2 linked regions of the Caenorhabditis elegans genome follow. The protein of the gene in region 1 purifies or fractionates together with the protein of each later gene. This does not show direct contact. Each region holds a gene or a part of one and is shown on either strand. Other genes may lie near its edges. The genes, in order: let-99 and par-1.

The links.
Region 2: the proteins of let-99 (region 1) and par-1 purify together in Caenorhabditis elegans (affinity purification with western blotting, with the first as the bait; 2 studies listed by BioGRID). This does not show direct contact.

Annotation. Positions count from the first base shown.
Region 1 is NC_003282.8:12,565,802-12,571,252, reverse strand, and holds let-99 (Protein let-99), read right to left. Parts: upstream 3,412-5,451; 5' UTR 3,398-3,411; coding exon 3,353-3,397; intron 3,303-3,352; coding exon 2,950-3,302; intron 2,903-2,949; coding exon 1,713-2,902; intron 1,655-1,712; coding exon 1,470-1,654; intron 1,130-1,469; coding exon 806-1,129; 3' UTR 631-805; downstream 1-630. Other genes in the region: K08E7.4 (uncharacterized protein), read left to right, coding at 200-211, 261-464, 512-547; hsb-1 (Heat shock factor-binding protein 1), read left to right, coding at 4,041-4,121, 4,176-4,337; eak-7 (MTOR-associated protein MEAK7), read left to right, coding at 5,272-5,397. UniProt on the Caenorhabditis elegans protein: Required for the proper orientation of spindles after the establishment of polarity. May play a role in interactions between the astral microtubules and the cortical cytoskeleton. Required for asymmetric forces on nuclei and spindles.
Region 2 is NC_003283.11:14,123,231-14,128,163, forward strand, and holds the start of par-1 (Serine/threonine-protein kinase par-1), read right to left. Parts: upstream 3,309-4,933; coding exon 3,085-3,308; exon of another isoform or gene 3,026-3,084; intron 3,014-3,025; coding exon 2,881-3,013; intron 568-2,880; coding exon 1-567. UniProt on the Caenorhabditis elegans protein: Required for cytoplasmic partitioning and asymmetric cell division in early embryogenesis. Phosphorylates and restricts the asymmetry effector mex-5 (and possibly also mex-6) to the anterior cytoplasm of the zygote.

The sequences.
Region 1 (5,451 bases):
CCAATTTGAAAACTATTAACGCGAACCGAAAATGTGTTTTGTGATAGAAAATTTGAAAAATTTCAACCTTCGAACTTTGAATTTCCGTGAACATTTCTTCCCCTTACAATTTCTCATATATAAAGCCTCCGAAAATCTACAAAATTCATATTTTCTCACTTTACAAGATTCAAAACCTCTCGGAAGCGAAAAAAGAATAATGATCTCGCAAGTGAGTTTTCTGTCAGGATTCTGATATTTTCCAAACCTCTCGCTTCCAGATCATTTTGCTATTAACTCTCAATATCTTGCCATTTGTGCTGGTCCATTGTGGGAGCAAGAAGAAAACAGTGGCTCCAAAACCGGTCGCTAAACTTATGGCAGCACCTGCTGGAGGAGTCGGAAAAAGCGACTCATTCGATTCGAAGAAACAAGACGTTCCATCGTCAAAGAAGGATGAACCAGTGGCTCCAAAGAAAGAAGATGTGAGTTATTTTTGGCATATTTTAAAAGACAAAACGAACGTTTTTAGGAGGGCAACTACGAGGAGCTCGCCATCCCACAATAGTCCTCAATGTATCCTAATAAATTTTTTGAAATTCCCCCTTTTCTGTGTTATTAAAGCATAGAAGAAAATAAATACATATAGATAAATCATCGTCAAAATTTATGGAACAAAACGAACATCGAGAATTTCAATTCAACCAGAATTGTAAAATAACATTTAGAAAAATGATGATAATGACACAAGAATTCGGTGAGCGGGGAGGAATGGAACAAAATAAATAATATATTGAATATATACATGGGGCGAAGATTTTTAGATTTATTTACGCAGCAATCTTGTGAACAATCCTTTCTTCGTTTTCTCACATGCCACTTCTCTTAGTGGTTTCTTAAAAACTGCCGGAGATGCTTGCGGTTTATCCGGAACTGGTGGTTGCCAATCATTTCGACTTCTGGTGATCTTTGCGTACCGAGGACCACTATATCTGTCCTTTTCTTCACATTCCAATCGTTTGACCTGTTCGATAAATTCAACAGGTACTGCAAAAAGAGATTGAAAGTTTGCGAGGAGGACAGCGGTTATCAGCATTCCTTGTTGCTTTCGGCATTTACTACAAACACCTGTCCAGAGTCCGATGATTGCCTGAAATCGAAAATTTAAAATTGATATTACGCAGACGCAAAAGTTCGCGACAAAAGTACGGTACCGGTCTCGAGGCGACAAATTTTTCTTTTGTCGAATGAAACGAATGAAGATTTCTGCAGAATTTTAATTGTTGAAATATAGGTGTTAATTTTGTAGTGCTAAATTGATAAATATTTTTTTTTATCAAATAACTAATTAAAATCCATAAAAATTCGGCAGAAATGAGAGTTTGAAATTACAGTACTCCTTGAGGGCGCACACATTTTCTTATCTAACAAAAAGTTGTCGTGTCGAGACCGGTTACAGTAGTTTTCTTGCAAAATTATCCCCTCCTTACCGCTTCCCGATTGTTGGAAGATCCGTTAGAAGGATCAGCGAGGTCGAAAACTGCATTCGTTTCGATCGATTGAATGAATGTAACAAATTTGTGAAGTTTCCGACGTCGTGAAGTTGGAAGCGAAAGAAGTACCAATTGAATTGCTTCGATCAACCATTGCTCTCGGATTTCGTAGGATTTTTCGTCTGAAATTATAATTTTAAGTAAAAATCGTGAAACTGTAATAAAAATAAAATTCTTTACCTTGTATTTCCAAATTCACTCTATTATCAAATGGTGATAACGCACGTCGTCGATACTTTGAAGCTCGAATTCCGCATGCTGGAAGATCACGGGAGAATCCATCGACCATCAATCCAGCCTCCTCAATACTAGACGCAGACGAAGAAATCATCACTTTCGACCATCGCCTTGCAGGCCCATTGTCAAGCATTGCCGCGAAGCTATCGATTTTGCAGAGGAGATTAACAATAAGAGAGCATTCATCGAATTGAAGAGGAGCATTCAAGTCTTCGAGACGATTGACTAGAGTTATGAAAATCCGATTGACGTTGTATTCCAACCCTGTGTCCATTTTTTTATGCGTGACGAAGGGATATCGAACAAGATAATCCATGAATTGAATAACAGTTTGGGGATAATCGGGCTGCAGTCCCTGACATCTCGATTTGACGATTCCATCAGCATGATCTATTTCAATCATGTTCCACTGAATATCGTATCCATCGACTTTAGATGCCCATTCACAGGGAAGAGTGCGATCGTAAATTTGTTCCAATCGTCCAAGCAGCTCTGTTTTCCAAAATGAGCATTCGTTGTTTGCCTGGACAGAGTCTGCAACTGGAACAACCGACGATCTTCTCATGATGGATTCGTACATTCTTCCACGCGATAACAATGCTGGATTTGATCCTGCGATGCTTGTCCGATGATTTTGATATCTGCTAGGAACTGCAGGCAACGGTCCTTGTGGATGCATAAAGACGACGTCTTTCGGGGCTTCTCGAATTGGCGGAGTGGTTACTTTCTGACTACGAAGAGCAGCTTCAGCTTTTTCTTGTTCCAAAACACAATGATTTCGATCAAGGGATGCTGAACGACGGGTTGGTTGATTGACTTTCGTGTGATTTCGTCTTGATTTGAAAAACGGTAACCAATCATAAACCTTCTCTTTCATCTCAGAAACTTCTCGTTTTTCAGTATATTCTTCTGTACAGATACTTTCAAGTGATCTGTTCAAAATCTTCGGAGTTCGTTGTTTCTTCGGGATTTCATCGTCTTTATGATCATCGAAACCGTGATTCTCAACGCCGCCTGAAGAATTATCGATGCCTGCTTTGTCAATGTTGCCATTAGATCGCGATAATCTTCGTGGGAGCCTTGCCTTTGGTGGCCGGTGCATTGTCGCGGCAGGAGAGGCAGGTTGAGCAACTCTGGAAATATATTTTATAGCACAGTTTAAAATGATTATTTGGCATACTTTGCACTTTTGCGAGCACCACTGAAAGACGCTGATCGACGTGATCGGGGCTTGGGATGCTTCAACTCATCCAAAGTCTTCATGAACAAATATATTCTCGATTCACTGAATGGCCTCCTTTGCTTGACTTTCTTCGGGAAGGCTTCTGAAATCACGTTCATGTCCATCATGAACTCCAGGAACTTCTGCATCTTGTCTCGTTCCGGAACATTGTTAGGGATGATTCGTGGCATTTCAATCATCAGAAAATCCACAGCTTCTTTCCCGCTGAAACTGTTTTCCGCAGTGGCCAATCCTCTTCTGTTCGTTTTGAGTGATAAGTTTGAACGAAAATGCCATAGAATTTCGTCGAACTGAAAATCAGAATAAAATTTCAAAAGACAAATGTGAAACATTTTAATACCAGATGCGTCGCCTTGAACTTCTCCGATGAGTAGTCGGCAGACATCACGGCAAGACGGCCTAAAACTTGAATTTTGATGGTTTATTGATAAATTTAAGAACTTCTTAAAAGAAAACGAGATTTCATCACGAAAAAAAGCAAGAATGAGGAAAAATTTCTGGAAACTTCCTAAAAATTGCTGAAACGAGTGAAGTTTTGGCGCCGAAGTTTTGTTTACGGACCAAACACACGAAAACACGACTTGTCACACAACTTATTAGCTACAGTAACCCATTCTGCTTTGAAAATTTCTCTTTTTAATTAAAAATTCCTCGATTCAGATGTTTTTTTTTTCTCAAAGTGTTTCTAATAATTATATTTTCCTCGAAATCCACACTATTTTACATAAAACAAATCATCTTATTCTGCTCTTTTCGCCGTTTACACCATCTGTCCTTCTCCAATGACTCCTTCTCTGCGTCTCTTTCACTCTCTCGCCGCCCTCTTTTTCTCTGTCGTCTCTCACTTCGACGTACTTTCTCTCGTGTTGTTGTTCCCGTACTTTTGTGTGTTCCACTGTTTGTGAGATGACGGCTAGTTGCCTGGTACTGGATTCTCACCAGTTTTAATTGATTTTTCATCAAATTTTCTTTAAAAACTGATTAAACTTTGTGATTTTTATCGTATTTTTACAGATTTTCAGTTCAAAATGTCCGATGAGAAGTCTACCACACCAACCGCTCAACTCGACGCTCCAGCCGATGGAAATATGAATGATTTGACGTCGTTGGTACGTAAATACTTGAAAAAAATTGTCAATTTTCTAAAAAATCCTAAAACTCAGATACAAGGAGTTCTGCAACAGACACAGGATCGATTCCAGCACATGTCGGATCAGATTATTCGGCGAATCGATGATATGACAACGAGAATCGATGATTTGGAGAAGAATATCAACGATTTGCTGCAATCGAACCAAGTTGAACATCCGCCAAGCGCTCAATAAGATTGGTACGGAATGAGAAAAATGGGAAACATTCTCAAAAATTTCGGTCGATGTTTTGACCACTCGTTATTTTTGAAAAACAGTGTTGTTTTTGATGTCGACTTTGAAATTTCAAAAAAAAACAATAATATGGGCCGTGGGACCCAATTAGAAATACAGTAAAAAACGCTCTTTGGCCGAATATTTTATAATTTTCATGTATGAAGTCAATCCTTTTATTCCTTCTTAACTTTAGTTTGAAATATATTTAGATTTCCTAGCGCCTTTCCAATCGATTTACCACGTGGTAATCAGGCCGATTGCACCGTTATTCCAAGACTTTATCATTAAAAATTAGTATAAAAATATAGAACTTCACCTATTAATTTTGGCTGAAAAATTCGCCGAAGAGCTCAAAAATGGTCTGAAAGATGCCAAATTTCCACTAAAAAATCAATTTGTAGAGATTATTAATAACTAATCTCTCTTCAATTTCTATTTTTTCCAGCTCTACACTCTTCCCAAATGAATCATCGTCGCTTCCTTCTTCATCATCATCATAATTCCAATTCGTTTTGTGTGCTTCTCTGCGTCTCTCCTACATACATATACTCTTTTCACGTCTTCTTCTTCTTCTTTTTCTACTGATTATGCACGTGTTGAGAGGATTCATGACTACTATGTTGTGCCTCCTGCTTTTAATCTCTTATTCAATAACTTTTGTTGCATTTTATTACGATTTTCGGAATTATTTTATTTATATGTGAAAACACAAATTTTGCCAAAAATTCAAATTTTTGTGCATTTTTAAAAAAAATTTTCAATATGAAACTATTCATCTTACTTTTTCTTCTTCTTCCCTTGAATTTTTTCTCATACTAAATGTTGATTTCTCACAGTTTTTACTAACTATTTCGCATCCGGATTTTCAGATAAAAAACATATAATTTCAGAAATGGGAGCTCAAAATTCGAAGCGAAAAGATCTAAAAAATATTAACGATGAGGATTATGCACATTTTATGGAAAAACTCAAAAAACACACAGATGGAAAGGACAAAATGACGCGAGACCAGTTTGTGGTGAATTAATTTTTAGAAGGAAAATACATTTTAATATAAAATTTTCAAATTCCA
Region 2 (4,933 bases), on another chromosome or scaffold:
CAAATTTTGTCCATCAAATGGTAGACTTCCGGATACAAGAGTATAGAGAATTACACCAAGACTCCAAACATCTACTTCAGGACCATCGTACTTTTTACCGGAAAATAATTCTGGAGCAGCGTACGGTGGAGATCCACAAAATGTGTCGAGTTTGTTTCCAAGTGAGAAGGTATTCGAAAATCCAAAATCAGCAATTTTAATATTCATATCTTGATCGAGAAGCAAATTTTCAGCTTTCAAATCTCGATGAATTATATTTTTCGAATGCAAATATTGAACAGCAGAGACAATTTGTCGAAATTTGGCTCTTGCTTCTTTCTCTTTCATTCTTCCGTGTGCAACCAAATAATCAAATACTTCACCACCGGATGCATATTCGAGTACTAAATACAGTGTCTGTTCAGTTTCCATCACTTGATATAATTTCACAATATTCGGATGATCCAATTGTTTCATAATTTTCACTTCTCGGAACAATTTTTGAAGACTCGATGGGTTCAGAGCAGTCTTGTCGATAATTTTTATAGCGACTTCATGTCCGGTTATCACGTGCTTTGCGAGTTTTACCTGCAAAAATAATTAATTAAATGGTCATATATCTAAGATTTATTTTTGTCAGGCTGTTTCGTATTTCCGACTGGGAAAAAAAAAGATTTTTAATAAAAAGTTACGGTGCACGGTCTCCAAGGTCCGGACACGACTTAAAATGTTCTGAACAAAAGAGTGTACTCCTTTAAAGGGTACTGTAGTTGTGATTCCCTGTTTTTTGTGCAATGTTTTGCAAATTTTCACAATATGTCTATCATTTTTTCGAAGTTTATATTTCTTTCATGACTTTTATATGATTTTGGGTTTTCGAAAAATAAATTTTAAGCGTAAAAAAATGAAACCGAGATTTTTTTTTCTGAAATTTTCTCTCGTTTCTCAAAAAAAATATATAAAAAAGTTAAATTACTTCTCAAAAAGGAAATATCATTAACTATATATAAAAAAATACAGTTCGTCTGTCCGGAGTTTGTAGTCTATGTAGTCTTTGGAGTCTGTGACGTCACGCCCAAATTTCAGTGAGAATAGTGGGCGTGGCACCCTTCGTGGTGAGACCCATCGTGTTGAGACCCTACGTGGTGAGACCCTTCGTGGTGAGACCCTTCGTGGTGAGACCCATCGTGGTGAGACCCTTCGTGGTGAGACCCAAAATGTTGGCGTGAAATTCAAATTTTAAGTGAAAAAAATTTTGGCGGGAAATTCAAATTTTAAGTGAAAAAAATTTTGGCGGGAAATTCAAATTTTCAGTAAAAAAAATTTTGGCGGGAAATTCAAATTTTCAGTGAAAAAAATTTTAGCAGGAAATTCAAATTTTCAGTTAAAAAAATTTTGGCGGGAAATTCAATCAGTGAAAAAAATTTTGGCGGGAAATTCAAATTTTCAGTGAAAAAAATTTTGGCGGGAAATTCAAATTTTCAGTGAAAAAATTTTGGCGGGAAATTCAAATTTTCAGTGAAAAAAATTTTAGCAGGAAATTCAAATTTTCAGTAAAAAAAATTTTGGCGGGAAATTCAATCAGTGAAAAAAATTTTGGCAGGAAATTCAAATTTTCAGTAAAAAAAATTTTGGCGGGAAATTCAAATTTTCAGTGAAAAAAATTTTTGGCGGGAAATTCAAATTTTCAGTGAAAAAATTTTTGGCGGGAAATTCAAATTTTCAGTGAAAAAATTTTTGGCGGGAAATTCAAATTTTCAGTGAAAAAATTTTTGGCGGGAAATTCAAATTTTCAGTGAAAAAAATTTTAGCGGGAAATTCAAATTTTCAGTGAAAAAATTTTTGGCGGGAAATTCAAATTTTCTGAGAAACTTTTTGTTAGCTTAAGTACCACCTGGAACTGGCGAGACCCATCGTGGTGGGACCTTTAAAAATATGGGCGGGAGCTTCAAAATTTATGAGAAAAGAAATTTTGGCGGGAATTCAAATTTCCAAGAAAAATTTTGGCGGGAAATTCAAATTTTCTGAGAAAAAGATTTTGACGGGAAATTCAAATTTTCTGAGGAAAACATTTGGCGGGAAATTCAAATTTTGGTTCTGGAATCAATTTTTTGTTTCAGCACCTTCTGGAAGTTTCAAGAAAATTCTAGAATGTTCTAGAATCATCTGGAAAATTCAAAAAAGTTCTGAAATGCTCTACAACCTCCTATAACTGTAGGAGTTTTTATTTGTTTCGTCACATCTATATTCAAAGAACTTACTATTAGTAGTTAATTATTCAGACTTCTCCAGTTAAGGAAAGTTATTAACTTATTGAAAAACTGTAACTCTGTGGAATTTTTTCGGGGGAGGGGGACAGCTCGCCACGCCAACAGTGAGAAAAATAGTGTGGTGCGCGGACCTCGAATGATGTCGGCGGCTGATATTACCTGGGGTACCGCTTTTTGCCTTTTCCCCGTGAGTGAACGAGAAAAAGGCGGGGACTATTTTGGCGTACACGCAACGCAGTTTTATAATTTTGAGTGTAGAAAAATCAGAACATTCTAACTGTCTCTTTGAATTTTCTGAATCGAATACCATGGAAGAAGAAAATGCGATTTAATCGATGAAGTTTCAACTTTTTTAATGATACATTTTTGAATGATTAAAAGGACATCTATGTATTATACATTTTAAACTCCGCCAGTCGTTGGCCGCGCCGGAGGCGCGGTCATCGACTGGTTTTAATAAATAAAATTTTTAAAAAATTTGGAAAACAGAAAATTTGCCAAAAACCGGGAGTTTGTAACTACAGTAATCCTTAAAGGCGCTCGGTCGTGTCGAGACCGGCTACAGTATGTTTCAAGCTCTAATTTTTTGATAACTATTTTTTTTCGAAATTTCCAATCATCAAGTGCTCACCTTTGCAAAATTTCCCTTTCCAATAGTCTTCAATAGCTTATACTTTCCAACGTGTACATCCTGATCGTTGCGTCGTGCTGCCGATCGACTTGACATACCCGATTGTCCAGTAGATCGTGCATGTGATGAAGAGCTGGAAAAATTTTTATTGAAAACTGGTGGACTGGGGCTTTATTTTAATTTTAAATGTGAACTAAAATTAACTTTTTTCGGTTATGTGTGACATGATCTCCATCAGGTGACACTTTCACCGTTCGCCGTTTCCCAGATGAAGTTAGTGTGGGAGCCATCGGAGCTGTAGTGACCACTTCAGACACTTTTCGCTTCGGGATCAGAGATTCCTCCTCTTCCGGAATAGGCGTCACAGATGAACTACTTGGCTGGCACATAAATCTAGCGAGTAACGACGAGTATGCCGCATTGAACATATCGAATTAGGTCAAACGGACGCGTAAGAGCCCTGGGGCTCCCCGAAATGGAGCAAAGCGTGGAGGACGGACACACTGGAAAAAACGAGGAGAGCGCCGGCAGTAGAAGAGGAGCAAGCGAGCAAGAAGAAGAAGATGGGCGGCCTTTCTCCATACACATCCATCCATCCATCCATCCACACTTTGGAGAAGAGACACAAATTGCATCCATGTCTCTCTCTATCTGTCTGTATTCCTCTTGAAAAAAGTGTGAGCAAAAGGAGAAAAAAACTAAGAGGGAATATGTGTCCCCTTCTCTTTCTATTGCTCCCATCACATCGGAATTTCTCCAAAAAACCCTCCCCGCCGACCGATAAATGCCCCCACAAAGTGCTGCTCCAAGTGCTACATAAAATCGTGTCCCCCCCCCCCCCGCCATGCCTCTTCGTTTTTTCTAATTTCCCTTCGCGGACCCCCGTTTTTTTGTGGCTTTGATGGACGGGGCTCGTTGAATTTCTGTGTTTAAATTTTCATTCGATGCTGACTGCTTGCGGGGCCATCCAACGTCATCTCGTTGTGCTTGCAATTCTTCATTTTGAGTGAAGACGTCAGCACAGAGGGGAAGAAATGACGACTTTTACAGCCGATTTAATGAAAAAAAAAAACTCGAAAAATAGCGCTTCGGAAACTTTTTTTTTTCATTTGAGACGCGTTGTTCCAATAGAAAAGGAAGTTCCAGCCCCTCAGTTAGAAAAAATTGTTTTTCAAAAAGAAAACCGTTAAACTGCCTTTTTTGGATATAAAATCAAAGGTCAACCGAATCTAGAAACGTACTAATTATATTCGGCCACTTTGCCCCATTTAGTGGCTACGTTCATCATATTGCCCGTACCTCGTAGAACACAAAAAAAGTAAGGCGAACTCAGGCGCCGGACATAAAATGTAAAATCTGATGTTCAACAAGAACAACGATGGTCTTCTTCTATACTACAAGCTGCTATGATGAATCATGGAAAATTTCTTGCAGCACGACCAACGAAAAATTGAGGGGGCGATGAGTCATATTCAAGAAGAGAAGCAGCCGGAAAAAATATTTTGAAACAAGATAGAAACCTGGTCAATTCATATTCCGGAAAAAAGGTCCGAGGCTGTTGAGATGGATAATATGCAGAATGCCGTGAAGATGTGGAAGGTGGTGAATATGAATATGGATGATCGTCACAGCACAAATCATCGAGATCCAGTGCAAATGCGTACGATTTCTTCGTCATCTTAACAGTTCTTGAATCTTGAATCGCGAACAATAATTGAATAAAATAGTGTCGCACGTGAATGTGTAAGGTGATCCAGCAGCTTCTGAGCAGGTGTGTCAACCAGTCTGCACTGTCAGTCAGTTCAGTACAAAAATGAGTCAGTTCTTCAATTCTCTCAGTCGAGGCGCTTGTCGTTTTCTCACAACGTCTGCGTGTCCACCTCTCCTATTACTGACTCTCTTTCCGATAAGTCAATAATAAAAATTGAATAGATTGGGGGTGGAGGAGGTAGAACCGAATAGAATAGGACAACACACCAGGTGCACCGAGACGACGAAGATGGAGTTGAAAAAAAGAAGTTCGCGTCTCACTTTTCTTCTTTATAATCGTACT